Struthio camelus: one gene and its partners. The protein of the gene in region 2 interacts with the protein of the main gene of each other region in a pairwise test. Links are inferred from orthologs where the notes say so. Each region holds a gene or a part of one and is shown on either strand. Other genes may lie near its edges.

Region 1 (10,595 bases), on a different chromosome or scaffold from region 2:
TGTTGAGCAGGACACCCAGAAAGCACTCATGGGATGAGTGCTTGGGATGGAAGCTGTTTCTGACTGGCAGATGACCATTTGAGATATTCAACAGATGCCTCCACAAGCTACTTGTTTTTTGTTAAAAGAAATCTATGCTGGGATAACCACTGCTCTGGAGAACAGTGTCTTGTAAATCCTACCTCCCAAAGTCAATTAGTGGACACATTAAGTGCATCAGCTACAACCAAGCCTCTTTATGCATACCAGATTACACTAGCCCTGCATTAACCACTGTTCTCTGCCATAGCAGGGAACGCAGAAACTGAGCCTCCAAATGAGACATTTTTTATATTTGAATTTTTGTACCCGGGTTTTAAGACAATAGACACATTCTGGTACTTTGTTGAAGATTTTAAGAGGCATAAGCTAAAGCTTTTATTTAAATGTCTCTTATTTCCTTTTACAATCTGTCACAGTACACTTTGACCACTTCAAAAACACCAGTTTTCATAACAACATCTCCACATTCACGTCAAACAGTCTAGTCTGAAGGCAACGGAACTACTTTTTTAAATATTAAAAATAAAATATTTATCCTTTGAGATTCTCTGAACGAGAAAGAATTTTAGAGAGGTTGGATCTTTAAAACAAAAAGGCACCAGGGGAAGATTCTAGTAATTTCCACATTTGAAGAGAACTATACTCAGTAAGACAATAGCTATTAAGCAGACCAGCAGGGAAGCCGCAGGGGTTAGAAATCATCCTGAGTACTTTATCAGAGAGACCCTGATGACTTGGTCACCACTTGGAATTCTGCTCCAGTCTCTGATCTCTACTGTCCAAGCAGGAATTTCCTTTTACAGCCAATATAATTATGAACCAAGACTGAGGTGGGGTCAGAAGCAATCTATTTTTCTCAGACGCATCCAAACGCAGTGTAGAAATTAAATTCTTACAGTGAGTGAATATGCCCTCTAGCGGTTAACGTTTAAAAGCTTTCAGGGCATTCTAATCAAAAGCAAAGACTACATCTGAACCCTGATTTAGCCTCAGAAACTTCTTTCTGAAACCTGTTTTCTCTCCACCTTTAACAGAATATTTGGAATCAAACACGTTAACAGATCTTCTGGCCAATGCCGCCCATCCTAACTGAGATCAAGCATTTCTAGCCCACCACAGCAACCACAAATTCTTTGCAGCAAAGAGCAGACAACAGAATGTGTGAAGTTTGTCCTCCAAGGACCTAAAAATCAATTTTAAGTCCATACTGATTTAAAGAACAGTCTGAAAAGTTATTGCCAGATCACCATACAGCAGCCACACTCAGTCCAAGCAATTTGGGCTTGCTGTCATGACAGCTGGGAGAATACATACATAAATTGTTCATTCACTGAATGAAAAAGCAATTGATAACATAGGAGAACAGGAGCAGGAGCTACCTGTGATTCAACATGCTTAGAGCTATTCTTCCCATTCTTACCCTGTGCAGATGCAATAACACAAGCTAGCTGCCCAGACAGGCATCTTTTTGCAGCCCCCATAAGGGATAAAGGGATATTTTTACAAATTCCAGCATTGCAGAAGAGAGATTTACTGATGGGAAGAATTAACATTTGCAGGAGACCCTAGACCATCTGGAGGAAAATGTAAGATTTAAAAAAAAAAAAAAAAAAAAAAAAAAAAGGCAATTCCTCTGCTGTCCTAACAATCAAGTTCCCGAAATAACCCAAGCAGGCACCAAGCAGCCAATGGACTTGAGAACAGCATTATATTTGGTGCCTCTGCAACTAAGGACATGTTTTTTCCTGTGTCTCTTGGGATCTTAATGACTATTTCAGATTATCGGTACTATGCAACAATCCAACATTGCCCTTCCAGGGTATGCTCAAGTTATTCTAGCAACAAACCATCAAAAAGAGTGGGAGGGGAAGGGACAGCTGTTTGCCTTCAAATAAACTTCACTGCAACACCAAACCACACCTCAATCACTTTCAGACAGCTAAAGGACACAAGACCATCAGCCACTTTTACGTATAGCAGACCAGACGCCTGTTCCAAATATACCGTTTGTGGTGGAGATACAGACAAAAAACAGGCTGTACAACTACACAGCATTCAAATTCCACACACAGAAAAAGCTGTTCCCTTCTTCTCTTTGCTTACCCGCCAAGTTCCGCTCCAGCTATCCAATTTAAGCTAAACAGGAGTTCTTTTCACTTGCTATTATTATTCCAGCTTCCACCATTACTGCAGGCACTGATGTCTATCTAGCACAGGGCAAAGGAGAACTGCTTTAGACATGTCACCTGCTGCAGGCAATTCAAAATCTCACCTGTAAAATCGTGGCACATCACTTTCTCTCCTCTGCCCAACACGAAGAGCAGAGCATGCACGTGCATATCCCTAACAAAGAGGAGTTAAGCCAGCCAAGACAACCACACCATGCCCAGGTGACAAGAACAACAGGAACATACTCACTGAGGCAAAGGTGCCAATCTGTTTGATGTTCTGTTCATAACTCTGCGAGCTTGTAGGCCTCCCAGGTGTTCGTCTGGAGTACCAAAAAGTGTAATTATACTGCAGGGGGTGCTCAGCTGGCCCTGGGACAACAGCCTGCAGAACAGAAAAGCTTGCTTATTCCTTATTCACTCCTCTAGAAGGGGAATGGGAAAAGTAACATCCAGGGCATCAGTGGTCTACATATTCCCGCCCCTACCGAGTGTAAAACAAACAACTCATCCTCATTTTCATAGAAAAATACCATCTCTGTTAACTATCTGGCATGGACCATTAGGTTAACAGCAGCTGACTCTATTTCAAAAGAATAATAGAAATTTGCAGTACAGGGATGGCTAAGGAAGTAACAAAACTTATGCTTGAGGGAGTGTCACGCAAAGTAACCCTCATCATAATTAAAGACAGTATTACTAAGTTTTTGTTTTAGTCCTTGACTGTGAGTTTCTCAAAGGAAACAGATAGACCAACTAAAGGGGCAGTAGAAGAGCTTAATTTTTTTAATTAAGGAAAAAGAAAAAGCCATTCTCATTCCCTGAGAAGAGCAAAGCCCATTTACACTGAATCATGATCCAAAAGCAATTATAACTCCCTGGTGACAGCAGCTCCCCCAAGCAACCAACACCCTAAGACTCTGGAAGGATTAGTCTGTCTCAAAACTTGTTATGTCAGCTTTGGCAGAACCCACTGCTAACAGTAGGTAGCGATCACTTTCCAGTCTCCATCCACTTGCAATAAAAAGGTTTCTAAAGAGCATAAAATGGGTAGATGAGAAGTCCTTACCCTAGAGTCGCAAGTGCCAGGAGAAAAAAAAAAAAAAAAACCCAAAACACCAAAAACCCATCACCTTGCATCACTTGATATTGTTACAAGAGCAAGTAGGGTTTAAATCCCTACTCTCCACTAGCCTACAGCAAGTTTATAAGGATTGTATTACTTCAGAGAGTACAGTCTTCCTAAGCACAAGATAAAAAACAGGATGGGTATTTGCCTTCCTAACTAGGCTACTTTACCCTCATACAGATCCCGTCTTAAGGATTATTTCAACAATGGCAAAAAAGCATAGCTTGGAAAGCCAACTGCAAGTCACTACTCAGTCAGTCAGTCAGTCAGTCATTCCCCCTTCCTCTCCCCACTTCCCCATTCAAAAGCCGGCCAGAGCATTAGCTGCGTTTGTGAAAGGAGCATTCACCCCTCAGATCATATACCCCGAATGCTATGTCAAGTTAAACAAATGCTAACACAGCCCCCCATCTTCATTACAGCAGTAACAGTATACAAAGTGACCATAGCACACTAAGACGTGTTCTTCTTATCCCCGCACTGAGAACACTCTAGCGTTCCACCATCACGCCCTAGTGACAGAACACAGGTGCCAGCCCCTTACCTTCCTCTTGGTACTACTCTGTGGTTTCTCTCGATCATTCTTTTCCTTCTCACTGTCTTTCTGTGTGTTGTTCTCCTCGTTCTGGTCATGATCTCCACTATCATCATCCTTCAAACTGGTTAATGAAATAAAGAATGAATGACAGTCCTGTACGTCACAATCGAGAAGCCTCATCAGCCCCTGCTTCTAAGCTCCTATGTCACACAAGAGCCACCCGCGCTTGGAAAGCTACACTTGACAACCTACACAGTGAAAACTACGGATGGGATTTGTCATGCCCAGAGCCCATCACAAGCACCTTAGGTACACACTTTTAAGCAGAAGCCTGCAACAAAATGCCTTTTTAGGACAAAGTCAAGCACTTCATAACGGACAGAGATCTGCTGCACAAAAACCTGACTGCTTGGGAGGCAAACAAGGCGACCACCCACCGCAGTTTTGCTGACTCTCAGCCACCCAGCTCTCCCCGCCCCTAAGCCTAGCGGAGACTGTCCCCCGGGCGGGCAGACACCACGCCGGCACCCTGCGCCCCACAGGTCTCGCCGCCCGCCCCCTTCCCTGCGAAGGGCCGGAAAAGAGGAGAGAGAAGTGGGGCCAGAAGGCGGACCCCCTCGTCGCGAGCAAGGCCCTATGCCGCCAGACCCACCCACCCCCCCCGAGCCCGCTCTCCTCAGGACCGGGCGGGAGCCCCGGGGCCGGGCCGGGCCGTCCTGAGGGGGCAGAACGGGGCTGTGCGAAGCCCGGTGACTCATCGCGTCCCGCCCCAACGGCGCCGGGGCAGCGCCGCCGCTGGGGGGGGGGGGAAGCCCCGGGGCGGGCTGGGGGGCAGGGGAGACCGCACAGCCCCCCGGGCCGGCGGTAGCGGCGGTCGGGGACGGCCCCGCCGCCGACTCACGCGTCGAATTTGTTGTTCATCGTCGCTCGCTGCCGCCACCTCCGTCCACCTCAGCGACTTCCGCTCTGCCGAGTCCTCCCTCCAAAACCTTCCTCCACTTCCGACGGCAGGGCGGCTCCGACACAGAGTCGCGCTTTCCCCCGGCGACATAAGCGCAGAGCACAACGGAAGGAACTAAGGGAGGGGCAAAAGGAAGGGGCTTCCCCCCCCCCCCCTTCCACCATCTTGAGTGCTGACTCTCTCGCGACTCGGGAGGGGCGCCATCTTGAATGCGTGCAGAACCGCCGCCATCTTGAGCGCGGCGAGCGCGGGCAGAGCCGCCATGCTGGGAGTGGCACGAGTCGGGCGTGCCGCCAAAGGCGGGTGGCGCCCTGCCCTCGGCGAGGCCGCCCAGTGCGGAGAGACACAGGCCGAGGGGTTCAGGTAGCTTCCCCGTTTTATTCATACTGTTCAGTTGTCTCTGGTGGATAAAGGGTGACCATATGTCACCTAAAACTCCCGGCTAGCTCCTGTGGTGACAGGGCGGCCCTCAGCCAGACAGCCTGCGCCCATCCCTTCTTCTTCCCCTCAGCGTCTAGCGAGGGATGGCGCAGGTCTTGTACGGGTGCGGCTGGAGGATGAACCCCACGATGGGCCGGTCATCGGCTTCCTTCACTCCCTCCGGCAGCCGGAAGGTGAAGGCCCGCAGCAGGCTGCTGAAGCTGATGAAGAGGTTCATCCTGGCCAGCCCTTCCCCCAAACACACGCGGTGGCCTGCGGAGCGAGGAGAATGTGTCATGCGTGGGCTTCACCCCCGCGTAGGCAAGAGCACATCTCTGCTGTGAAGCCCAGAAGAACAGGAGAGATTTGCAGTCCCTACGTGTAGCCACTTACTGCGGTATGAAAGCAGAGAAGTGCTCTAGATCTGTTAACACTCATCTTGGGGCACCCTGTGAACAGAGCTGCTGAGATCTACAGCCCCTTCCAACGTCTACGGTCGCTGTATTTCTCTAGTGTCTCTCACCTGAGACATGGATAGCGTCCGAGATGGGAAGAGGAGAGAAAAAATATACCAGTAAAACCCTGCAATGCCTGATGTGTTAGGAGAGGTTAATGGACAGTTCATAGAGGGCAGGGAGATAATCCCTCCTTCAGCTTCCCCTCACACTACATGAGAAGAGAAGACATTGCCCCATGAGAAGAGAATCTTCTCATAGCTTTTTACAAACCTCTGCCCAATAATTTCTGCTATCCAGCAGAATTAATGATCAGATTTCTGACCAAAGTACTTTCTGTTTCTCCACCAACTTACGACATGGATAGAGTCAGAGAAAATCCTTAACCTGTAGATCAGGAATGTGCGTTCTAAAAATTGTTCATATGTAGATGCTGTTCATAAATAAACCTGATATGCAGCAGCTTCATCTGCTGGCCTCTTGGTGTCCACTGATATCAATATTGGTAGAGATTTCCAGTATCTTCCAGGAGCCAGTTCTTAATTAGTAAACAGACTTCTATCCCCTGCTCTCTGAGGGATCTTTAATTTGTCATTTTTTTCCCACGGGACAATCTACCTCATTTCCACAATCGCAGTTCATTTTGTTGAGAATTTCAGACACTAGGTAGTCTTAGTTTTTTTTCCTCAAGAAGGTGAAGCTGCTACCGGTCTCTGAAATCAGCACCTCTGTCTTTTGCTGCATAGACCTTATTATGGGAATGAACAAAAATACTCGTGGCAGATCGAATGTTAGGAAGGTTTTGGCCTGTGAAACAATCACTATAGGAAAGCTGTGAGCAATACTGAGGATTGCTCTCACCTGCAGAAAAGAGCATGAAGGCTTCTCTGCTCACAAAGTTTCCATCCTTGTCCAGGAAATGACCAGGGTTAAACTGTCGAGGAGTCACCCATTGCTCTTTGTCATACAGGACAGAAAATATGTTGGGGAAAATTAAGGTGCCCTACAGAAAGAGAAAATGAACATAAAAGGATCTTTTTCACAAAGTTAGGCACTAATGTCATAAATTGCCAAAGTGCCAATTGCTCTCTTGAAATTGCCCAATGCATGTGCCATCTAATTATTATGGGATGAGAAACACGGTCATGCTAAGCTCTCTCCTGCAGAATAGCTTATTTAGAAATGATTAGGTATTTTCTAACATTGATTCTAGAGCATCAGAGCACAGTATTTTACAAGAAAATTGTGCTTGCAATAATCAGAAACTTTGGAAAAAAATGCTGAATTGAAGGCTTCACAGTCCCAAGACCTCTGACTTTTCATCTTGCTTTTTCAAAGGCATCTTCCCTGAGAGCCACACAGGTCTTGTCCATTGGGAAGACCACCTGTATAAGGTTGGATATGGATCTAAAGCATTCTGCTTATACAATAAGTTGTGTCTATGAACACTATTATTCAAGATTTTCTTTGTTTTTTCTACTTGGCTTTGACTTGCATCAGTTTTAAAGAAGAACAAGATCATTATACTGATATAATTATACTGATCTAACTCCTGAAATCTGGTATAGAAAAACCATTATAAGGAGCATCTTTGCAAAAGGATAGTGAAGCTGAGTAGGAGTTTATTTCTACTGTAGGATGTAGATAATGTCCTGCCTCCTATTCACAATGAAGAGTTTTGCACAAGTTGTTCAAACTCAGCTTTGCCTGGGGCAAAATATAAGCACAACATATGGTGTTAAAAAGGTAAAAAGAATCGATTGCCTTTCTTTGCTTTATCTAAGGATCATACCAAAAAATATTGTGGCTTTAACATACCTTAGTGATAGGGAAGCCTTGTAGAATGGTATCCTGGGTGCACTTGCGCATTACCCCTATGGCACTTATGCTGCTGTAACGCATAATCTCATGCAGAACTGCATTTGTGTACGGCAAGATCACTCGGTCCTTATATTCAATTGCACGAGATGGACCAATGACAGCATCTAATTCTTCTTGGACTCGTTCTGCAGAAGAAAAAGGCTAGTAGTGAGCATTCAGGAAGGCAGTTGATACTTAGGCTCTATGCTGAGACTCAAACAGCCAAAGACATCTTAAACTGCAAAATTTGGGCAGGGGAGACAACTGAATTTTGCTTATTACTCTGCAGTGCGCAAGGACAGTCACAGATGTAAATGCAGGTGCATGCATTTCTCACCTTGTACTTCTGGGTACATCATCATGTAGAGGAGAGCCCAGCATAACGTGATAGTGGTGGTGTCTGAACCCGCTATGAAGAGGTCTGTGATCACTTGCACCATGTTGGTCTCTTTAAACGTAGATGTGGGGTCATCCTTTGTCTTCAGATGTGAGACAATGAATGCAATGTAAAGCAGTTTTAATAGCATAGCACATTTCCAGCAACAGAGCTTTTTGCCTCAGAGGTTCCACAGTGAATTGATGAAGCTGGAAAACTAGCAGCCATATAGATCTGTTAAAAAAAATCTTCCTGAGGACAGCAGTGTACAATACACTTTTTTTCCAGTCGAGAGTAGAGAAACATTACTGTTTCTGTGGTGACTACCAAGGAACATCCTTAGTACTTTGCGAAAATACTTTGCTTTTGAGGGTGAGTTAAAAGAAACATATCCCAACAAATAGACTCTGAGAAGGAAGAAGAGGAGGAGGTAGACATGCAGCTGGAAGTATCTTGGCTACAAGTATTCTAAATATGCTGCAGCTGCACAAAAGACAGTTAGTTATTTGTTACCTTTAACATCTGAGCTAGGTATGCATCAATGAAGTCCCGTGGCTCTCCAGGCACCCAGCTCTCCTGGTGGTTCCTGATCTCATCCTTAATAACTGTACGTAGATCCTGCAGGTGTTTTAATGCCACCAGTGATCTCATTAACACAGGGCTTAAGTGCTTCAACAGTGATGGGAAAGTATCGTAGAGCTGCACATGAAAATACAGGTACAGGGAACACCGTGACATCTTAGCTACTCTTTAAAGCCTAAACGTTCACAGCTGAACCGTGGCTGACCATGGCTATGATCCAGGTATATTATTTGTCAAACTATAGGAAATAAATGACCACTTAATTTTATTTATTATCTATTTTGGAGGAAGAAAGTGTGCAAAGGGTGATCATTAGCATACAGTTACTTTCCAGATTACCTGCTTTCCACTAATACCTTTTAGAGTTGATGGATTTAAATCTGCTACAGTACAGCTTTCCTTATGTTTTCTAAGTGAAGCCTCTCCCTAAATGCCTGTTCCCTCTTACACCTTAAGTCAGCACTTTGCTGTAGTTCTCAAAGCCACAACAATGTTAACTTTCTCTATTTTTTTGAACGGTTTGGAAGGATCCCAATCTAACATAGGAAAAGTAGGCTATTAAAGAACCCTTCGAGGAAAAAGCTAAGAGGAAAAACCTGAGTGTGGCCCCAAGGCAGGCTTGATGCTGAATAATCTTAATATAAAGTCAGATCAATCTGTCGAAAGAGAATTAGTGTGGGAGATTCAATGGGTCTGTGGACAGAGATAGCCATGAATGCTTGTGGAGGAACCATTACTGAGAAAGAATGGAACTGGAGTGCTGTTTTTAGCGGAGTTCAGTATTTCACAGAACCACAGAATCACAGAATGGCTGAGGTTGGAAGGGACCTCTGGAGATCATCTAGTCCAACCCCCTTGCTCAAGCAGGGTCACCTAGAGCATATTTCCCAGGATCGCGTCCAGGTGGGTTTTGAATATCTCCAGGGAAGGAGACTCCACAACCTCTCTGGGCAACCTGTTCCAGTGCTCAGTCACCCTCACAGGAAAGAAGTTTGTCCTCATGTTCAGACCGAACTTCCTGTGTTTCAGTTTGTGCCCGTTGCCTCTTGTCCTGTCACTGGGCACCATGGAGAAGAGACTGGCCTCATCCTCTCAACACCCCCCGTCCCCCTTCAGATACTTGTACACATTGATGAGATCGCCTCTCAGTCTTCTTTAGTCAAGAGCTCTTATTTATCACTGGGCATTGGCAAAGAATGGCTATTTCATGCCACAGCTCACTGAGGAAGGCCAGAGGGTTTTGATATAGTTGGAGGGAATGGGTCAATCTTTTGCTTACTCGAGGCCAGAAGGTGCCTAGGAATCCCGCCATGGCCTGCGAGCCTTTGAGCAGCCTCTGGAACGCATCAGCCTCTGTAGAGAAGCAATGTCCAAAAAGCACAGCAGCAATCACGTTGTTGATGGAAGAAAGGATGGGGAGAGAGGGATCCATAGGTCTGCCTATGAATAGAGAAAGTTGCATCATTATCTTCTTGTGCAGGCTATGGCCGATTGTCACACTTCCATCCAGCCTACTCCTGATTTGCATGGGATTACACAAATAACTGATCCTGCAGGGGTCAAGATACAAGAGTCTAATTGGGAGATCATTCTTTGGGCACCTTTATAATGAATGAGGGAAGGATTCCATCCTGCAGAAAAGGACAATTTAGGAGTACTTCCCCAGTACTTTCCCCAGTAAAGGGTTAGAGGGAAAGCAATGAGTCAGATGTGATGTTCCAGCTGAGTGCAAAATGAATTGTGAAAGCATCATCTGTAGAAATTAGGGAAACTGGCAACCTCCAGTAGAAAAGACAGGGTTTGAAATACTCAAGGAGAATGAGCCCTTCCACATGCCGGTCAGTGAGTCAGTACTCATTCAAACAGAAAGTGAGATATTTGTGCCATGTCATGACCACATACAGATCTATGTTTCACCTCTTTCTCTGGCAAAGACCTTGACCAGGCAGTTGGCTTCCTCCTGGATCCAGGCTTCCAGGCTTTTTTTGCCTAGACCCAGGTTCCGCAGAGTCATCAGGCTGAACCGTCTCTGCTCCTTCCAGGTGTGCCCATTGGAAAAGATGA
Region 2 (10,231 bases):
TTCATAAAACAAGCATCTGCACAGAAGAACCCTTTGAGAGCGATTTAGATGTCAGAAGCAGCCTTTTTACTGGTGGAGCTTCCAAAGAGGCAGCTGTTAAGCCTTTAGACTTATAACTACGCATCGTCACATCAGAACTACAAAAAAAACCTGAAAACAAATATACAGTCTTAAATTACTAACCGGTATGAGCAACTTAGTAGCATAATGCCTAGCAAGTGACTTCAGCTTCCCTTTAAAGTTTTTGTCATATTAGATGACTACAGGAGTAAAACTTGCTTTCAGTCTTACATATGCTAACTCTCTAAAGTCACACTTACTTGAAGCACTAAGCCTTACTAGGTCAAGTTCAGTCCTCATTAGCACTTGAAAGGCTATTCACATTGTATATGTTCTACTTATCCACTTCCCTGGACAACTAAACTTACAAGCAAGATAAACATGATTGATATTAGCACTAGTAAGTTTAAGATGCAATGAAAATTGCTATGTTCAATGCTGTATAAGATTCAGAGAGTAAAAAAGTATTACCGCAATACTAGCAATTAAGATAGATCTCAGTTCCAGACAAGCTTGCTATTTCTGACCATCACCAATTCCAACAAAAAAAGACACGTATATTTTACAGTTATATCTACTCAATCCAATGCCAGATCAGTGTTGAATAATTACTTCAGTTTTCCACTTTCTACCAGCTTACAAACAGTCCTTGACTTACAACTGCACACCCCTGAACAGCTGGTCATTTAATCTAGAGTGTCACTGCAGTTTGCCACATTTAGAAAGCTGTATTAATGGTGCGATAGTTGATGCTTTGAATCATGATTAACTCAGCTGCAGCAATAAAGATGTATATTTCTAATTAAACTTACTCCTCTTCCCTAGCTTATCTTACTTCAGTCTGCCTCACTCCCAACTGTACTGAACGGATTCAGAACTGGGTAGAAATCAGTGGAAGCTAGAAGGATAAAGGGATCCTAACAGCAGACACCACATGAACCAAACTGAAGAAGGGAATGTCTCTAACATCCTCCCAAAGATGCAACATTGAACTACAGTGTTCAACAGGTGATTATAGTCACATTGCTTGAAAGACTCCAGATGTCAATTACTCAATAGCTGTACAAAACCTAAGAAAAATATGTATATAGGTACATACACCCTCCCCCCCATAACAGCTTAATATACCAAGGAACACTTCAGCTAGACTGGGAGAAATCATTTGACTGAAGAGGAATATTTGAATGTGACAGGATAACATTTATGCTGGCAATATGTAGAATGGATACTATCTAGCAGACAAGATGGTACTAGCAATTATTACAGTAATGCATTCTGAAGAGTCCATTTTATTTAACCCTATTTAGGGTAAGTCTAGTATTCACATTAATCTTGTTCCCTGCTCTATGCAAGGACTCTAAACCTACTCTTTCCTAGCCCTACTAGAAGTCTGGAATAGAACTTATCCCTGAACCCTAGGGATAAAACCCTAGGTCCCTAAAACTAGGGTAGGGCCACATAGCCATTCTCTATCCTGCACTGGTGTTTCATCATCTTTCTCGAAAAGAAGAGCTGCTGCTTGGAAAGGGCTTGCACCAGAGAAGGGAGTCCCAGACAGCAGGGAGCTCCCAGCATTAACTTGTATTAGCCTTCACCATAAAGAGTTATATTTTCCTAGCAAGACCAGACAGCCTGGAGAGCAGAGCTTTAAAGGGAGGCAGACTGGCCTGCACCCACAGCCTCCCAAAATAAATTATGACCTGTGAGAAACATTAGTACTGTAATACTATCATAGTCTGGATGTAGATATCAGAAGTATTAATGGCATTGTCCACCATCAGATTTCATATTTACTATTTTGCTGGCCACGAGAGGGAGTCCCTAGACTTCCAATCAAATTCTATTGCAAGTCTTCCATTGAAGTGAGGAAGATTTGAATTGTTTTTTTTTAAGCTTTCACTTGTTAGCTGGAGTAACAGCTTTTAAAGAACTAGGAAAGACACAGCTTTGAGAATATAACACATTTCCTCATAATAGAGGAGATTAGTGTTAGCACTTTCACAGTTTTTTTTGATTCACCCAGCAGTACTTTCAAGCAGGTAAGGGGAAAGGTGTGTTTAGCTGTTATTAGGAAGTATTATTCAAGCAGTTTGAGGATTCATAGTGTGAACCAGTCGTTCTCCCACCAGTAGAAAGTGAATATAAATTGTCAAAGGAAAACAGGCCCTCCTCCAAATCAGTATATCTCCTGAAGTACTATTTCTTTCCCCCGCCCCATAGGGAGTTGGATCATGTGAAAACAGCTTTTAATATTAATCCCATGAGCATCTTAAATCAGCTGCATTTAAGGCATGTTAATTGTAAAAAAAAAATAGCAATATTACTATGTGGACATTTTAACATGGATTTATTTTTTTATATATGTTTCTTCACTCCAAGCTCTGTGGAAGCAGATAGATAAACAAGACTAGCTGCCTTCTGGCAATAATTCAGTCACTTTATTCTGAGCAGAATTAGGGGTACAGAGTTAACAGCTGCAGCTACAACTGCACCAATTTCATTGTACAACTACCATCAGTGCTGCCCGAATACTGCTCAAAACAGCCACCAGAATCTCAAGTTGCATTCAGTTATTCTTCTTGAGAAGAGCTGAGTGAGATCAACTGAGAACAGATATAGCTTTTAGGAACAGGGAACGTTCAGAGATAAAGCCACCACCCCCCCCTTGCTTTAGGGGTAACTGAATAACAAGTTCTGAACAATACTATAGTTTGCATCTTGGAAAGTTAAGAGAACATCTTTTCTAAGAAAAGAATTAGAGAAGCCATACTATTCCCATATAAGTTTTGCAGTTTTGAAATACTCAGGCCATTGTTGATGTCTGGTGAAAGTAAGCTAGTTCCACTATCTCAGTGGAACAGAGACACAATGATAGTTTTTTTTAAAACAACCTACTAGGAAACTAACAGTTCAGAATTCCTCAGGCAAGATAATACAGTCAGCAACAGTACACTGTCTCATTCTCTCTTCCTCACTTCAAGCCCTTTGTTGCAAAATATCTTAATAGATTTCTGCAAAGCCATGACCACCTGTTTCCACAGCTTTCAACAATGAAAATATCAACCACCTTCATAAAGGCTTTTGTTCTAAGGAAAAAAAAAAAGTCATCTTTCAGCACAGCACCAAGATCCAAAACAGAATTTGAACCTTAAAAACCTCATGGTTTATCAAAGATTTTTTTTAACACTAGGTAAGTTTATTTGCACATTATTTAACGAGGTTCTTCCACTCATACATTCAGGTATCACAGCTGAGCAAGGGCACCTGTGTTAAAGTTTTAACATTAAAGAGTGGTTGGATGCATAAGTGCTAAGCTTCTAACTCCCAAACAAGACCTGTTCTAAGAAAACATCCAAACAGAAATAAAGTGCCAGTGTGATCTGGCATACTACCTATCCCAAGAAAGTAGCATCATACGACAAGTAAACATTTTGGTCGTGTTCTTAAAGAAACATTGCTGAAAGTAGAACTAAAACAATGAAGTGCAAGTGCTTGAGAAAGCTGGTAGAACAACATACTTCAGGCTCTACCATGTCATCCCCAGCGCACGCTATGAGGTGCACAGATATAATAAGGTGATGGGAACCAAAAGTATATATGAAGGACAGTCAAGATTACACAGTCGCTTCAGATTAAACAAGTTGCTTGTCTCATGCCACCTTGAGAATCTCAACCCAAACAAAGGCCTCTCAAAACCGACCAGTCAGTCAAGTCTGACTTGGACTTTCCAAGTCAGGGAAACCTCTGCCTCCAACTCTACTTCTGTGAGCAACAGCTTCAGGCACCTTTTTTTCTTTTTTTTTTTTTTTTGGGGGGGGGGGAAGAGAAGCTTACTTTTGTGTAACGATGTGGGTATTTCGTTGTAATTCTGTTCAACTCAAGGAAAGCATCCCCATTTTCAGTTTCCGTTACACCTCCTCTTTTATCCATGGCTACTTCAAAGCCTTTGGCCATGGACCTAATAAAAAAAACAAAATCAAGGCATCAAATTTTAAGACACGCGTTTCTGGGGGGGGGGGAAGGGGGGAAAGGGGTGCATTTTCCTTTCAGCCCCCCAAACCATCCTCCAGATGTGACGCCTAACAACCACCACCGCCAGCCACAACAGCACGTTTTTCCTACTTGTCGCTTCCCCCCCTCGGCTGAGCGGCGCCAGCCGGCCGCTGCCCGCGGCTCCGGGGGCGGCGGCACCGAGAGCCCCAGCGCGGGGGCGGCCGGGCAGCGCGGCGCGGCCCGGCCCAGGCCCGTGCCGGGGCGCCGAGGGCCCCCGCGCCCCGCTGAGGGGGCGGGGGCGCCGGGGCAGGTGACTCAGCGGATCCCCACCTGCGCCGCGGCCGCTACTCACCGCGCCGGCGGCGGGTCTCCCGGCGGCGCTCCGCTCCGCTCCAGGCCTCACCGCCGCCGCCCGCGGCGCTTCCTGCTCCCGGCCGCCGGCTCCGCTCCGCCGCCCGGCGCTGCCCGCGGCGGCGCCCCGCTCCCAACCCGCTCCCTTCCCCCACCACCACCTGCCCCGGGCCGGCGCCGCCGCCCGCCGCCGCCTCCGCTCGCGCGGCTCCGGCCCCTCCGCGGCTCCTCGCTCGCTCGCGCGCCCTCTCCCTATTCGCCCGACTCTGGCTCTCCTCAGCCGCCGTAACCGGGGCCTTCCGCTGCCCGCCCCGCACCCCTTTAATGGCCCGCGCGCAGGCGCGGCGGCGGGCGCGCGCCGGGGCTCCCCGCGCCGCGCCTGACTGGAAAGGGCGGGCGGCGGCGGCGGGGAGCGCAACGCCGCCGCCGGCCTGGCGGGGCGCCGCGGGGCGGGGGGGGAGGCGGCCGCCCCGCCGCCGTCTGTGGCGGCCAGCGCGGCGGCGGCGGGTGAGGAGAGAGGCGGGCAGCGCGGGGGGGCCTCAGGCGCGCGCCGCGGGCAGCCCCGCGGGGGAGGAGGCGGCGGGACGGGGGGGAGGGGGGCGCCATGCGCCCGGGGCGGGCGGGACCGGCCTGGGCCTCGGCCCCGGCCGCGGCGATCGCGCTTGACAGCGGCGCGGCCCGCCCGGCCGCCCCGGGTCGCTCCTCTTCCCGGCGCCGTGCCTGCGGGCGCAGGGCGGCTCCCGCGCTCGGAGGAGCCGAGGCGCCTTCGTTTTCGGTCCGTGCGGGCTTCGCCGGGGGGGCGCCCGGCGAAACGGCCTCGACGGGCTGTTTTCTGAAGGAGCGCGCGTGCATAGACGGTGAAGGGACGAGCCGGAAAGGACTACACATACCGCCCGCCTCCATTCGTAGCCCTTTTTGCATGGGTTTGGCGGTTTACCCTTTAAAACAGTGAAGTGTACGTTAAAAAAAAAACGAGCCAGGCCGTGGCCTACACGCTGCACAGCCCTTCAGAAGGTTTTTTTTTTTTTTAAAACGCACTTTATCGGGCTGCCACCTCCGCTCGGTGCAAGCTGGCGTGCCGGCAGGAGAGCAGGCGGGGAAACGCGGGAGGGAGCGGGGCAGCCGGGGCGGGGGCTGCCGGCAGGTCGTGAGCGAGGAGCGGGGCGGGGGCCCTAAGGCCCCTCATGCCCCAAACTCCTTGGACGGAGCTGCACGGGGAGCACATGCAGCGCTGCTGAAGAACGGGCGGGGGGTTTGTCCGTCTGTTTGCCAATTGCCTGAAACGTCAGTAGTAAAGATTATATGTGCGGTCACCTGTGGAACGAAACAAAACCAAACATTTCTCAGTCTTTCCGTAGCTGACAGACCTAAGTGCTGTAGCACGAATAGGGCAGCGCTGCGACTGCTGGAAACTTGACGCCGTAACGCGTACGCTCCCGAGACGAGCGCCGCGGGGGGCCCTGAAGGGCCTCTCGCCTTGCTTTAGCTTCCATAAACGCCCCGATCCTCCTGCTTCGCGCCTTGCGAGGGAGCACAGCCGCTCCCACAGAAAACCCGGGCCACCGGCGAACCGGGGCCGGGAGCCCGGGGCGGCCGCCGCCCCTCCCGCCTGCTGGGGGCCGCTGCGCGCTCGCCCCGCCCCCGCCCCGCCCCCTCTCCCTGCGCGCGGGCGGCGCGCGCCGCGCTGAGGCGCCGCCGCCGCTGCTGCTGCTGCTGCCCGCGCTGTGGTGAGGCGGCGGCGGCGGCAGCCGGGGGGCGGGGGGGAGCGTGAGGGGGTGCGGAGGGCGGGAGGAGGGAGCGGGGGGGGCAGCTCCTTCCCTGGGGGGCCGCTGGGGTGCTGCGTCAGCCGCAGCCGGTTTTCCCGCCGTCCGCGGGGTTTGGGCTGGCCCTGGGTGGTGTTGAGGGTTTCGTTTTCTTCGTCCTCGCGTGCTTGCGGAGGGAGGGGGTAGCGTCTGTAAACAACAGCGACGCGAGGAGGTACGAAAGGAATCAGTTAGCGTAGGTAGCAGGTTTCCCACACCTCGATGGTTTGGAAACAGCGGGTACGTAGCTTAGGGCCTCTTGGCCAGTTTACAGCCCTTTTCCAGTCACGGCCCTGCTTAGCTAGGCGCTGCTGTGGTCTTAGCGTTCAGCTCGTTGCCGCTGTCCGTGGCCGGTAGGGTCTGCCGGCACAGGGCCGTTGGAGCCCGCAGGGCCTGGGCGTGCAGGGGGACGCTGCTCATGCTGAACATCTGCCCTATACTCTGCGCGCAGGGTGGGTGAGGGGAATTCAGGTCGTTTTTAAGAGCTGCAGAGTGAAATTAGCATAGATGGGATTTGATCACATCAGAAATAACAAGAAATAATTTATGCTTTGTCCCAAGATAACATACAACCTTCCTGTGCAGAGAGTGCGCTTGTTTACTGCAGGCTGGGAATTGTAGGCAACATGGAGAAGTGCAAGAGCAGGTAAGCAGTAGTAAGATGCTGCTTTGTTAAAGGACTCGGGCGTATTATTTTCATTATGACAACTTATGCGTTCCATGGCACAGAAACAAATTAAGATTTTTTTTTTTAATTAATTTCCATGGAAGACTCTTAATCAGAAAATGTACCTCTTGGCGGGGGGGAATTACCTTTGTGGTTTATGTTACCATAACGCTAAAATACAAAAGTGAAGTTCTTGAGCTTCAGGTATTAGACTGGGTCATAAGATACTTGGATACAATTGCTTGCCCAGGCACAAATTTCCTCTGTGATATTAAGCAATTCTCTTATCTTTCACATGTTTTTATTTCCTGACTTAAAAAAGGGAAATGATCCTTCTTCAACCCTTATTTTTCTTGGCTACTTCACATAAATTCTCAAGCGCATGGGTTGCCGTCACTGCATATATGTAATAGCTCTCACATACGGTTCTTGATATTTAGGAATAATCTATTATAAATTATGTTTATTGAAAAATCATTACATATTCACATGCCCTGGACTTTTGTTAATACAAACTTCTACATGTTCCACCCATGCTTGATTTTTACTGTTTTCTGTGATGTTGCAGCTGTGTGCATGATCAGACTAAGTTTACCTTTGGAATAGAGTAGAAGGTTTTGAAGGGAACTGGGTCTAATAGAAATGCGCAAGAAATGTACTGGAAGCAATTTTGCATAATTTAAAAAGTGTCTGAAACTCTTTTCTTCAAAAGTGCACGCAATTGCCTCAGCTGCACATCTTGACATGCACAGAATTCTCTTGTCTGCCAGATGTGGCCCTTCTCTTTCAGAAAATAATCAAAATGATATTTTATAGGGGAACAAGAATTTATCTCTGTGGCAAACTACAGGTCTTGTTTTCTTTCGTTAGGTTTGTTTTAGCTTCTTGCAGCCTGCTGGAATGAGCCAAGAGTACTATTTTTTCTTCTATGAGATTTTAACTAATATTGGAATTTTTTTTCTAATTTATTGTGAATGCTTTGAATTGGTGTTCAGCTGAACTCCTGAGACCTATTAGTGTGGATTATTCCAATAACTGTGGACCAAGATTTTTCCTGGCTGCAGCCATATATTTTTCCTAGCTCTCCTCAGGTGATTATTGGGATGAGATTTCAGACTGTCTCTTCTGTTGAGTGTTAAGGAGTTCAAGAATGTTTTTGTGGTTCTAATGTGCAAATTTTCAGGGTGGTGACAGTATTTGTTTTGAGAAAGAAGCTTCAATACAACTGGTTCAACAGGTTTTATCTGGTTAGTTTTTTTTTTTATCATGCTTGTTTTCAGAAAATTGTTGAGGCAAAATACTTAGAATTTGTAAAAACATTTTTCAAATGTTATTTTTCAAATTAGAGCTAGGCTTCAAAATAAACTGCATAATGGAAAAATGTACTTAATTTTGCTTTTTAATGATGGCTATATGAAGACAGGAAGGGATTTTTAGTAATTTTTTTCTTAAAGAAAAAACATAACTGATGCAAGTATAAGCAAAACTAGGGAAGATCTCCTTGTAAACAGACTGCATGTGTAAGTGGCTTTCCTATTAAAGTGATCATTGAGAAATCCTCACCTCAGTTCTGTAGTCCTCAAGAGAGTTTTTCAGCAGTAGACAAAACGGCTTGATTTGTTCAAGAATAAAAAAAGGCAGAAAAACACATTTAAGTCTTATTATTTTCTGTAAAAGCCTTAATTTTTACTGTATATAAGTACATGGGAGGGGAAGCACAAATGCATTTTAGTTCTTTCTCATTTCAACTTTAAAGGAGAAAGGAACTGTCTGTGACATGACTGCTCTGAAATCTGACTTACTGCCGTTCATGGGGAAATGGCCTTACGATTCCAGAAATAAAGTTAGTGAATAATGCGTGACAAGAGAGATGTTAAATGTGTTGTAACGTTGGGTAGCTGTCAGTTTCTCTATGTGATTGTATAGCTTTGTTATAGGTTAATCCATAGAAATGATGCCGCTTCTTTACAATTAACAGGGTCTTACACACAGTATGTTTTCTTTTATTTCCTTTTTAAGTTCAAAATCTCTGAAGATGCGTGCAACCCAACAACTGCATAGACCTAAAATGCATGCAGCTGGTCACTCTGCTGCTTGTCAGTGTGTTGCTCCACGATCTGCTGGACATCGATTTCAGAACGGGGGTCATCACAGTCCATGTCCAGTTGGGTGTATCTGCAATCAAGGAAGAAGGTTAAAAGAACTCCAGATCAGGTGATAAGACCAAAACACAATTTTCACTCAAAGGAGCAGGGGGATAGTTCTCTTCAAGAGTTCTGATGTTTTTAATGATATAACTGAGGGCTAAGGCAAAGGTTTTTCTCACAAGGGTGCCCAAAAATTCTGAAAATGTCTTGTGATGACTTGAGGATGTATGTTAGCACAGTCAGATTTCCTAGGTTTTTGGCTTTCTAATGTAAATTTTAAAAATGGCTATTTAAAAATGTGCTTTCCTGGAGACCGTCAAGTATAATGTTTTAGTCTTTCCCTGCTGTTGCGTTTCTTTCCTTTTGTTTGTTGACGGAATCATGACAAAGATGGGACTGTAACTGTAAAGAGATTTAAGTTTGGTTTTGATTGGACAATTTGATTGGACAAATTGAGCTGATCTAGCAGCTCTGGTATGCTGCAAGAGGGAAGTCCTGTTCATGGCTATGTGCTTTCCTGAAATACCTTGTACTGGCTTTAATGCCTGTTGGGGCCCTCTGTGAGCCAATTTAGCTCTTGAATCCATTAAAAAAAGAAGAGGGGGGTAGGAGGATAGTATCATAACCACATATTAGCAAGCCGGATTGGATCCTGGAGAAGCTTACTGAAAACTAGAACTGATGCGGGGGAGGAAGGAGGAAGGAGGACCTCCCTGTTTCAGGGCTAAACACTAGATAGTGGCTTAGCTCTTTCGGGAATGTAACTTTGACTCAGCTGGTTGATCTCAGAGAAACATTCATGTCCTTTCTTCTAAATGGCATAAAGGCACCCCAGTTAATCAGCAGCCTGCTCTTTAGAATCACTGGGTGTAAGTGGTTGCATGGAAGACATCTCGGCTATCTTGGTTTCAGAAACAAGCATGTCCCAAATCCATCCTGCAGTGATGTGCTGGTCTCTATTTATGCTTAGTGAATAGTCCTGTTAAAGGACTATTTTCAGGCTGTAAATGTTATGTATGTGCATTGGTCTTTATAAAACAGACCGTCAGTGTTATTTTGGAGCTAGCATGAAAGTCCTGATTTTTAAGATTGCTGTCTGAAAATATAACCAAGGAGGAGTAAAAAAGACAAGTAACCTTTGTTTATATTCCAGATACCTAGCAAGGAAATTCTTCTATCTGTGGGCAGAAAAGACATTTGGACAAGTTCTC
Region 3 (9,985 bases), on a different chromosome or scaffold from region 2:
ATGCCAAGGGGAAAGCAGTGGGAAAAATATTCAAGGAAAACCAGGAAGTTTGTCTTTAAATTGGGTAACATCAGTGTTTGTCAGAAGTGCACAGGCTTTTAAGGACCCGCAGTTGCCTGAAGAAAACACCTCATAACTTCGTAAGACTCCTGGGTCAACAGGCTCATAGAAGTGAGCATGAATGCCAGACTACATCTCACAATATCAGATGACTAATGCACATGTAACAGGGAAAGCCCAGAATGTAAACTCCTAATCTCAGTTGCTTCCAGTCCATATCTGAAGAAATGCCACTGAACAAAGCCCCTCTTTTTGCAAAGTCTATAATGCTTCGTACAGTGCCATTTCCCCTCCCAGCGTTTCTGTTCTTCTGCCACAGGAATACTAATCAAAAACAATACTACCTCATTTATATGCAGAGGTTTTCTTCAGCACATCTCAACGTTCACCTGGAAAATAAGTATCACAATGCCCATTTTCCAGGTGGGGAAACTGATGCAAAATGAGTTGATACTATTTACCCAAACTAATTCTGAGGAACGTTGCAAAGCTGTTTCTGGAGTCCAGATCTCCTTAAAACATTAACAATGGTTTAACATTCCAACTAAATGTTGTTACGCTAAAATAACAATCCACTCTGCTAAATCCTGCAGGTGTTATTCACACACACAGCTCTACTGAAGTCAGTAGAAGCATTCACATGACTAAAGCAGGCGGGATATTTCTGAAATAGGAAATAATCTTTTGTGAGGTGCGGAGATTTGCATTGCAAATTTTTAAAAACTTATAGATGACATTGAGGAAAAATATTATTAAGCTGAGACTAATACTGAATAACCTTTATACCTGCATGATTAAGAGTATTATTAAGAGTAAATGACTTCGCTTACCGTTGAAGAACTCAGCTGTCACTAACTTAATATAGTTGGACAGTTCATTTCAGTTCGTTTCAGAAAGCACCAGTAAGACTGGTACAGTGACAATTTATCCTTGAGTATCTCTAATCCACAGACAAGCAAAATAAAGATAAGAAGGGGTTCCGCTATAGAAAATAGAGAAAATTGGGTTCCTATAAATGCATCTAGAATGAACTGGACTGGGTTTTTATCAGAGTGCATCATAAGACAATCCATGTCAAGAGCACATCTATCAAGCAGATACCAGTGACAAGAACACTACTGCTATAAGAAACATAAGGTGTTATCTTCGTAAGGGAGCATTAGATTCCATCGGTGTTCTTAAAATCCTTCAGAGGTTCCTCCACCCCTCGCTTGAGAAGCAATCAAGAGTTACAGAAGTTTCTATTGTAGAAGTTTCAGCATTTCCACTGGAACATCAGGTAAGCATGAGGTCTATGTCCCAGAAGGTAAGAGGCTGTAGTGGGTGATATGGGAAGAGCAGAGCAGGCTAAGTGGCAACAGGGTTCACCATCCCTTGAGAAAGTTAGCCATATCAGATCCCAAAGGGTGGACTGGATTAGTAAGAGGATCTCTCTATTGGAGAGATCACTCTAGGGGAGTTATCAGGAACACATAGAAATGCTTGCTCTGGATGTGTCAGTTTTCAGTGGGAGTATCCACGACAAGGAATACTGTCCTACGGCATCTCTTTTCTTGAGGTAAGGCATGTTCCACGGCAAACGTTCACACGCAAGTGCATGAGGTTACTTATCCTACAATATCAGAGCATATTAGGGCCCTGTTCCCAAGGCCAGGCACCATGAATGTACCTGAAGGGAACAGGGGGAAGATGGGGCTTGACCTGGAATACTGAGCCACATGGAAATGAGAGAGCCCCTTAAGGATATGGAGCTCCAGGGCAATGTCAGGTCTGCTCACGTGTTCCCTACAACAGTTTGGAGTAGGGAGTATTGCCTTCAAGTGAAGCAGAGTCAGGAGAGTTCAAGGATACTGGTTTCTCAAACTGACATTAGTGGTATTGAGTCGAAGATGGGTAATGATGTCAAGACTCAATATATTAGTTCCCCCAGGGAGGGCAGAGCAGTTGACAGGTCTGCAGCAGTACTTAAGATTCAGGGCACATCCGTCCCTGTCTGTGTGGGCAGTACTTTCTCAAGAGGATATAACGAGGGTTTGGGGTTATCAGATCCTCACTACATCAGACCACTGGGAATGGGGGAAAGAAGGGGTTGCTTCCTCATTTAGGTATTAATTCCAGTGCAGAGGATGAGGAAGAGATTGCTTCTTCCAAGGAATACTGAGAGGAGCTGAAAGGGTCTCACTTCCTCTGGAGGATCTTGGAAGGCCTGGTGGTATCAGGTCTTTGGAGGAATACCAGTTCTCTGAAGACTATCAGTTACTCAGGTTCCAGGGCATCAGTTCCCTGTGGACTATAAAGGATTCAGTTCTCCAAGGGATACGGGGAGTGTTCAGAGGGCATTTGCAGAAGTATCAGACCTTTGGTGGAAGGGGTATCGGAAATATATTGGTTGAACAGGAGACAGGCCACTTCAGAGTGCGCATTTGTCCCTTTAACAAAGTTTGGCGAGTTCAGGACATATCTGTTTGAGTGATTCATTCGTTGTGGAGTACTACTAGAGTTTTGGCAGGTATTGGTTCTCCTGGGGATACCAAGACAGTTGAAGGGAGACCAGGTGAGTTTATGGGTCCTGGTTCTGGGCAGTATCAGAATGAGTGGTGAAGTCACAGCACATGCTGTTCAGAAAACTGAGACGGTTCAGAGAAACAACAGTTTTCTTGCGGGACTCAGGTTTCAATACTGTCAAGTGAGTTTGGGGATACTCCTTCCCCAGAGGTATGACATGGATTGGAAGGGGAAGTACTGGATAGATTCAGGCATGCTGGATCCCCTTGGGGTGAGTCTGCAGATAGTGGTTCACAAGACAGGGTCAACACAATTCAACAGGTGATAGTTCTGTGGTTAGCAAGAAAACTTTGGGAATCTCAAATGAGCCTGGAGGAACCTAGCTCTCCAAAGCGCTCTCTCCTCTTTGAGGAGGTGGATGCAAGATGTAATGGGTTCCTTGGGGATGGGTTCAAGAGTACCGAGTACCCTGAGTAGTGGGCTCAGTATACCCTCAAATCCATTCCCAAGGGATCAGGTCTATTGGGAGGGCTTAGGAGTAGGGTCAGGGGCTACGAGGCGGAGTGAGAAGGTATCAGGTCCCCCAGAAGTGAGCTCAGGGGCATCAGTTGGGTTTGGGAAATACCAGATTCTCCAGGGGTGAGTTCAGAGGGTACTGAGTCCTTGAGGAAGGTCAGGTGAGTTCAGGGGGTACCAGGTCCCCCTGGGGTCCCCTGCCAGGGTACCAGCTCCCCTAGGGGAATCGGAGGCAGACGCCGAGGGAGAATGAGGTGCGCAACGTGGGGTGGTCAGTGGGTACCAGTTCCCCTACAGGATATTAAGTGCATTTGCAGGGGGTTACCAGGTCACCTGGGGAAATTAGAGCAGGGGCTGAGGAAGTAATAAGTTATCTAGGGGAGAGATCAAGGGGTATCAGGTGCCCTAGGGGGTATTAGATGAGTTTGAGGGGGAGGGTACTGGGTCTCCTTGGGGAATCAGAGGGAGGGCTGAGAGAGTACCACATGCCCTGGGGGAATTAGGTGAGTTTTGAGGGATACCGGGTCTCTGGGGTGGAATTAGAGGGGGACTGACAGAGTACAGATCCCCTCGGGGGAATTAGGTGAGTTTGAGGGGGATGTGGGGCCTCCTGGAGGAATTGGAGAGGGGCTGAGAGAGTACCAGGTCCCCGGGGTGGGGGGCGCTCAGGGGGTACCAGATCCCCTGAGGGGGCCGGGGCGGTGGGGGGGGGAGGGGGGGGGCAGAGCAATAACGGCTCCCTAGAGCAGGTGGGGGGTGCAGAGGCCCGGCCCTCGGGGGGGTCGGGCCGGAGTAGGGGGGCGGCTCCCAGGAGGCAGGATGGGCCGGGCGGCGGCGCTCACCGTGGGGTCCCTGAAGGCGCTGCCCGGCAGGAAGGGCAGCCCCTGCCCCGGCTGCGAGCTCATGGCGGCGGCGGCGGCGCTGCCTCAGCGGGCTGCCGCGGCGCCCCGTGACGCCGTCTCCATGGCAACCGCCGGCCGGCCCAACGCGCAGGCGCAGCTGGGAGTTGGGCGCCTGCGCGCTGAGCCGGCCGGCGCGCTCCGCGCCTGCGCATGGAGGCGAGCCGGCGCGCTCCGCGCCTGCGCGGTGAACGAAAGGGCGCGAAGGGGGAGAGGCGGGGAAGTTGCCGTGGCAACGCGAGGGCGGCAGCGCCATGGCGGCGGGGGGTGGGGGGGAGCGGCCGCCAAGGCGAGCGGGGAAGGCCAGAGTGACCTTAGCCTTGGTGGCATCCAGGCGCCCTTTTTTGGGGTGGTCCCTGTCCTGTGCTGCGGCCAGGGAGGGGAGCAGGCATGCAGGGCCACAACCGTGCCTGAGACGCTCCAAATTATATTAACCCGGTAAATTAAGGGCGTTGATTTAGTACCTACATCGCAGTATGAGCTGGGGAACAGCAGGTTCGGTCCAGCCGAGCACGGATGCGCTGCCTCCTTTTTGTGCTCGTCTCTTTCGGAAGGAACGAGGAGGAAGCAGCAGGGCCATCGTGGACAGGGCTGTTGCGCAAAAATCGCCCCTCGACACCACAGGAGAGAGGGAGGCAGGTCAGCCACCGAGGGGAAAAGAGCTGTCTGCGTTTCTTTCCCTCCGTGTCTGCGTCACCAGTGCCCGCCGCCGGCCGGGCTGCGGTGCCGGGGCAGGCAGCGGGATCTGGGCGTTTCGTAAGCAGAAGCCAAGCGGTGGGAGATGCAGCTGGATCCTCTCTCTGGCCGTGGTGGGGGAGAGAGGAGAAGAGCAGCCGGTGGGAGATAAGGAACGGGCCCAATGAGCTTAGAAAGGAAAATAAGAGTCTGAAGGCCAAGGAGTGCGGAAAGTGCGGGGTTTGAAAGACAGCAAGCAGCTGTGGGACTGCTGGCTCGGATGCAGCTGCTGGGACCTCACTTCTCTCTTTGGCTGATTATTTCTCTTGTTGCGGTGTCCAAGGACCATTTCGCAGGGCGTCCTGAGCTTAGCAAGAGCCAATACCCTGCCCAGGGAAGGATGCTGCGGTCTCCTTTCTCTGTGCTCGCCAGCGTCTGCTCAAACCAGCCTGCTCTTGAGCACCTTTTCCTCGGCCGCAGCAGCTGACTGTAGTTTGTCTCTGTGGGCCAAGCATCATCCTCTAAGGAAACGGCAGCAACGCCTTGCAAAGTGGCAGAGCGCCGCTGTGTGCACCCTGCAAGGGGAAGAAGTGCTGCTGTATGCCTGCGTGAGCCAGGAATTAAGCCCAAGCGAGGCTTAGGGACTTATCTAGGGTCACAAAGGAAGACCCTAGGTCCTGGACGTGAACAGGGACACGACCAGGAGACTGTGGCCTCAGCACTTTCCTCCTGGGTGTTTTAAGGGAGATGTGAATGGAGAGCGGAAGATTAAGGAAAGCCATAGCAGAAACTGATACTTTCTTAGGGTAGGAATAGTGGCCATATGGCAGGAGAGAGGAGAAATGAGGAATAAGGAACTGAACTGGAACTCACAAAATCTGGATTCAGCTGCATCTTTGATATCAACAGGCAAGTCAGGCTTAAGATGAGCCCCTTTAGTCTCCTACATCCCAACTTTTTTTTAGTAAAAGGGAAAAGGAACAATGTTTCCTTTAGCAAGCTTTCCCATCCCTTATCTGTTTAAAAGTCACATGTTTTGGAGCAAAGAATGTGCTATGATGTGTATATACACTACTGTGATACATAGGAATAAAAAAATCTAACCTATGAATGCCCTTGCTGCAAGGAGAGTGGATGATGTTTCAATATGCCCCACCTGTGGTCTGAGGAGTCCTGGGGATACAGGGGTTATTTCCAGTGGGTCTGTTAAAAGACACTGAGAAACACAGGCTTATTGTCAGTAACCTCAGACTTGCTACCTGAGTGTCCCCATGTCTACTGAACTGTTCAGGGATTCACAAATCAGACTGCTCTCCTACACTACTTGCTATGACTGCTTCGTTGTCTCATTTGCCAACAGACACCCTGAAGAAGCAATACAAGTTTGGGTTGCTTTTTTCCTGTGCCCCATCTATTTGCCCCCCCCCCCCCCCCCCCCCCCCAGGACCAAATATTTGATAGAGGTATGTTAGAAAAGAGACTGCTAAGATTTAAGTGTAGTGCTCTTTTCTTCAGAGCTAGGGGAGTTGTTCTGGATCGAGAGTAAGTCTCATCTTCAACCAGAACAAAGCAAAGTGTTTTGATAAGATAAAGGATGAGGAAACGCTGGGGACAGCTGCAGAATTTAAGACCACAGCAGGTAGCATGCCTAGAGGTTGAGGCATGTACAATCCTGCTTTCCAGGGCTGTTAAGCCTCCGCTTCTCTCTCTGAAGTCAACAGGAGCAGCAGGCAACACTGGGAATAATTCTTCCCCTGACCTAGTCATTGAGACCATCTCTGATAGCTGCTTAGCAGAACAAAGAAGGCAACGTCTCATTTAGAGCTGTTTGCTAACACTCAGCTGCTTAGACTGCATTATCACTGAGCTGCAAGGATAAGACCAAATAAAGCTTTCTCATTAGGTAAAATAACCACATCAAGGTCTTTCTTCTGAGGCAACTAACTGCTGCAATATCTGATTCCTCGCCTCTGTGGTGACATCTGAAATGACTGAAACAAAGTGCTTTTTTCTTCTCCTTTGGAAGCGCTTTTACTTTTTGTATTTGACTCCATGCAGTTGGGATAAGCCAGTTCTGGCCTCTTCTGCGAATAATCAGCTCTATCTTTTCAAGCACCAAGGATATGTGTGTGTAATACTAAATAATGAAGGACATTTAATAAATACATTCTCTAAAACAGTAACACCTCGGTGTTACTGCCTCGGTTACTCGGTTACAGTTTCTTCTCAGCATACCACAAATCTCTATTTTAATTTCTAGTTAAAAAAGCTAACAGCCCTATTTTTGTGTTTTGGTATTTTCTCCCATTCCTCTAAAGTTTTTATTTTATGGAAACATAAAACTGGGGCCTAACTCGTCTGGTGAAATCCCTGTCACTTACCCAGAGGGCCAGACTCTAGCACATCCCTCGTGCAGAAATGCATGTCTCTGCAGAGTTGGATGGATGCCTGCTTGTATGGGAGCATTTTTTCCTAAGCCTGTCTGGAGAGCTAGCACTGAAGGCTCTGCTTTCGTGGCACTGGAGGCCTTTTGTAGCTGCCGATGGCGAAGACATCTCGCCCTCTGGTGGTTGAAAACATGACAGTACCTAAGTCTTGATCTGCATGTTATATTACAAAATTATAAATAAAATTGTAAGTATGATGGTCATAGAAGGAAATATTGCAAATTTCTTAGATGACTGAAATTCACAGTGAGTGTATATCCTGTGGGATGGGGTACGTACACGATCACACAGCTATCGGCAAGAGGAGTAGGAGCTCTGGCCTTGTTTCACGTAGGCCCATGACTAACTGATGGATATCGCTTCTGCTGGTCATGTCTTTTTGCTTTATTTTAAACATGTGCCGAAATGCTTTGCTTGAAGTGGCACTTGTGTTCACAGCTCTGCCACTGAAGCTGCGCTGCTCTGGACCAGGCCCACCAAGACATTTAGACACTTGCCTCCAACAGAAGTTAAGGAGAACTCAGCACCAAAATACTTTTGCAGATGATGACCTTTAATCCCTGTAATCAGTGTCAAGGCAGTCATTCTGCACCTCCTCTGTGAAAAGGGAATGATAATCACATAGTTACTGTGAAGCCTGGAAAATGCTTGGAGATACACAGATAAAAACTGCACCCTACTGTTAATTATAATTACTACCCACTCCTACTCTAAAAGGCCAAATTTTCTTCCTAATGACTCAAAACCTTCTCTAGTTTTGCATTTGTGCATTTCACACCACACCAATCATTTTGCTTTTACACATGTCTATTTTCACTGAGGAGTTTAAATAATGATCAGTGCAATACAAGGCTTAAAATATTGTCAATGTTTTCAACAATACAAAGTCAGCAAATGGGGATTGGGAACAGAATGGTTAATACGTAACACTCATACTCTTCCCTGTTTTCCAGGGAAAAATACAAATGCCTTTGTACTTATGTTTAGTAACAAACAGTGCTTAAAAACAATCTTGTCAGTAAAAGATGTAAATAGCAAGGCACAGGAGGAACCTGTCCTTGCCCTGTTACACAAATCAATCAGCGTAAATATAAGTTTAAGGCATCTCTTTCCATCCTCCTCGTCTGCTCCTTATACCAAGCAAATTCTGTCAGTGGGTATTAGCTGGGGTCCCCACAGGATGAATCCCAAAAGGGAACAGCATAAGGCACGCTGGGATGAATTCTCAGGAGCTGACCGGTACGTATCTGGGGCTACAAGAGCTGCAAAAATGCTACTGCAGGACTGGAGATTCCTGCGGGAGAGGGTTAGGACCTTGGTCCCTTCATGACTCACTCTCAGAAGTGCTCAGCCTTTGGTGGTCAGCTCTCCACCAAACCCCTGCAGCTGGTCACATGCCTTCCAGCCATGCCTCCTTAGAGGAGCACCAGGATGGAAGAAGGTGCACTCCAGGCCCTGAGCCCAAAGCACGAGTCCCTGAGATGCCTTCAGATGGGCCAAGCGTTTAGCACAGCAGCACTTTTACTCTCTCAGGACGCAGTCACGGTCTTCTCCCCTAGATCAACAGCACAGCTTTGAGGAGGGCATTGGTAGCCACCTTCCAGTCCCAGCCCAGGTGAGATGCAGCAGACTGCAGAGCATACAGAGTCTGCACAGGTAGGCAGCCAGGTGCATAAGGCACAAGGATAAATTCTTGGGATGAGGAAAATAAATTAAGTGGTTGGAGGAAGAGGAGGAGGAAAGACACATGGATGGAGGAAGCTCCAGTGTAGACGAGCCTCTTGTGACACAAAGGTGCATTCCCCACAGCAGCAGCGATCTATATTGCAATTCCCTGCTACATCAGCCCATCATAGTAACCAGGAGGTCAGCTCCAGGTCTGAGTGCAGGGTCACATGGGGACACGGGTGGCATCACCTGAGGGGTAACATGGGAATAGGTCAAATCACCACCACCATCACACACAGAATTGTTCCAGAAAGTTCTCTTTCTGGCCAAAGTTTCACTTCTACTAGACCAGGGAGGAGATGACATGGTGTGACCAGAAATGCCAGGAGCAGCCTCTCACCTCAGAAGAGCCATAAGGCACCTCCTCTTCCCAGTGAGAGGAACTGGATGGCATTGCTGTATTTATCCTCCTTTGCCTAGGACAGGACATATTAACTATTTTCAGACTCTTAGAGAAGGAAAGGCCTGGGTGATCCCTGCCTTCAGTACCAGTATAACTCTAGGTGAGCAGCAGAGCAGGGCTTGTTATTAGCAGCAATGCCCTCTCCTTCTCATTTTTAGCACAGAAAGGGGCAGTGGACCAGCCCGGCTTACTCCCCTTCCTGCACAGAAACCCGTTTATCCCAGCCAGATCCACACTAGGTGGCTTCTTTTGCTTTAAACTACTGCAAAAGCAAGGCAAGTTTGTCTCTGAGAAGAAATAACGCTCCCACTGGAAGTCATTCCCTGAACTGGGAGGAGACCCAAAAGTAAAGTGGCAGAGACCATGAAGGGGGCAGTCCATCAGCTAAGACAGTCAAGTAACCAACTGCTGTTGTAAGGAAGAACTGCTGTTTGCCTCCGCTTCAGCTTTGTGTACCCAACCCTTCCCTGCAGGCAGTGGTGTTGTCCAAGTGAGCTGGCTGAAAGTTAAAACCAGCAGAAAATTAGTCACCTTTTTTTCACTAGAGGTGGTTGTCTGCAGGTCCATCTCCCTGCATTGGCTCACTCTGAGGTCAAATGAGATTCTGTGCAAGGGAAGAGGCACGAGGAGGTGTTAGTGGGACTGTCCCTTTCCCTGGCAATTTTCTGTTAAGTCAATGTGGCTGTACCGTCAAAAATACACTGCAGGCAACTGAGCCATTAACAACTTCTAGGTGCTTCTAGCTGGGCTAG

Evidence for each region.
Region 1: the proteins of EIF4ENIF1 (region 2) and EIF4E2 interact in binary tests that used the Homo sapiens proteins (3 or more experiments, as listed by UniProt). The two-hybrid records come from large-scale screens. The link is inferred for Struthio camelus from reciprocal best matches to the Homo sapiens genes EIF4ENIF1 and EIF4E2.
Region 3: the proteins of EIF4ENIF1 (region 2) and EFHC1 interact in binary tests that used the Homo sapiens proteins (3 or more experiments, as listed by UniProt). The two-hybrid records come from large-scale screens. The link is inferred for Struthio camelus from reciprocal best matches to the Homo sapiens genes EIF4ENIF1 and EFHC1.

Annotation. Positions count from the first base shown.
Region 1 is NC_090950.1:22,232,031-22,242,625, forward strand, and holds the start of EIF4E2 (eukaryotic translation initiation factor 4E type 2), read right to left. Parts: upstream 4,940-10,595; 5' UTR 4,799-4,939; coding exon 4,779-4,798; intron 3,999-4,778; coding exon 3,884-3,998; intron 2,596-3,883; coding exon 2,461-2,595; intron 1-2,460. Other genes in the region: cytochrome P450 2J5, read right to left, coding at 5,353-5,531, 6,575-6,716, 7,532-7,719, 7,911-8,052, 8,463-8,648, 9,811-9,971, 10,449-10,595. UniProt on the Homo sapiens protein: Recognizes and binds the 7-methylguanosine-containing mRNA cap during an early step in the initiation. Acts as a repressor of translation initiation.
Region 2 is NC_090958.1:8,295,204-8,305,434, forward strand, and holds the start of EIF4ENIF1 (eukaryotic translation initiation factor 4E transporter), read right to left. Parts: upstream 4,530-10,231; 5' UTR 4,406-4,529; intron 4,019-4,405; 5' UTR 4,015-4,018; coding exon 3,895-4,014; intron 1-3,894. Other genes in the region: protein SFI1 homolog, read left to right, coding at 6,833-6,852, 8,893-9,087, 10,174-10,231. UniProt on the Homo sapiens protein: EIF4E-binding protein that regulates translation and stability of mRNAs in processing bodies (P-bodies). Plays a key role in P-bodies to coordinate the storage of translationally inactive mRNAs in the cytoplasm and prevent their degradation.
Region 3 is NC_090944.1:11,501,662-11,511,646, forward strand, and holds the start of EFHC1 (EF-hand domain-containing protein 1), read right to left. Parts: upstream 4,066-9,985; 5' UTR 3,987-4,065; coding exon 3,924-3,986; intron 1,832-3,923; exon of another isoform or gene 1-1,831. UniProt on the Homo sapiens protein: Microtubule inner protein (MIP) part of the dynein-decorated doublet microtubules (DMTs) in cilia axoneme, which is required for motile cilia beating.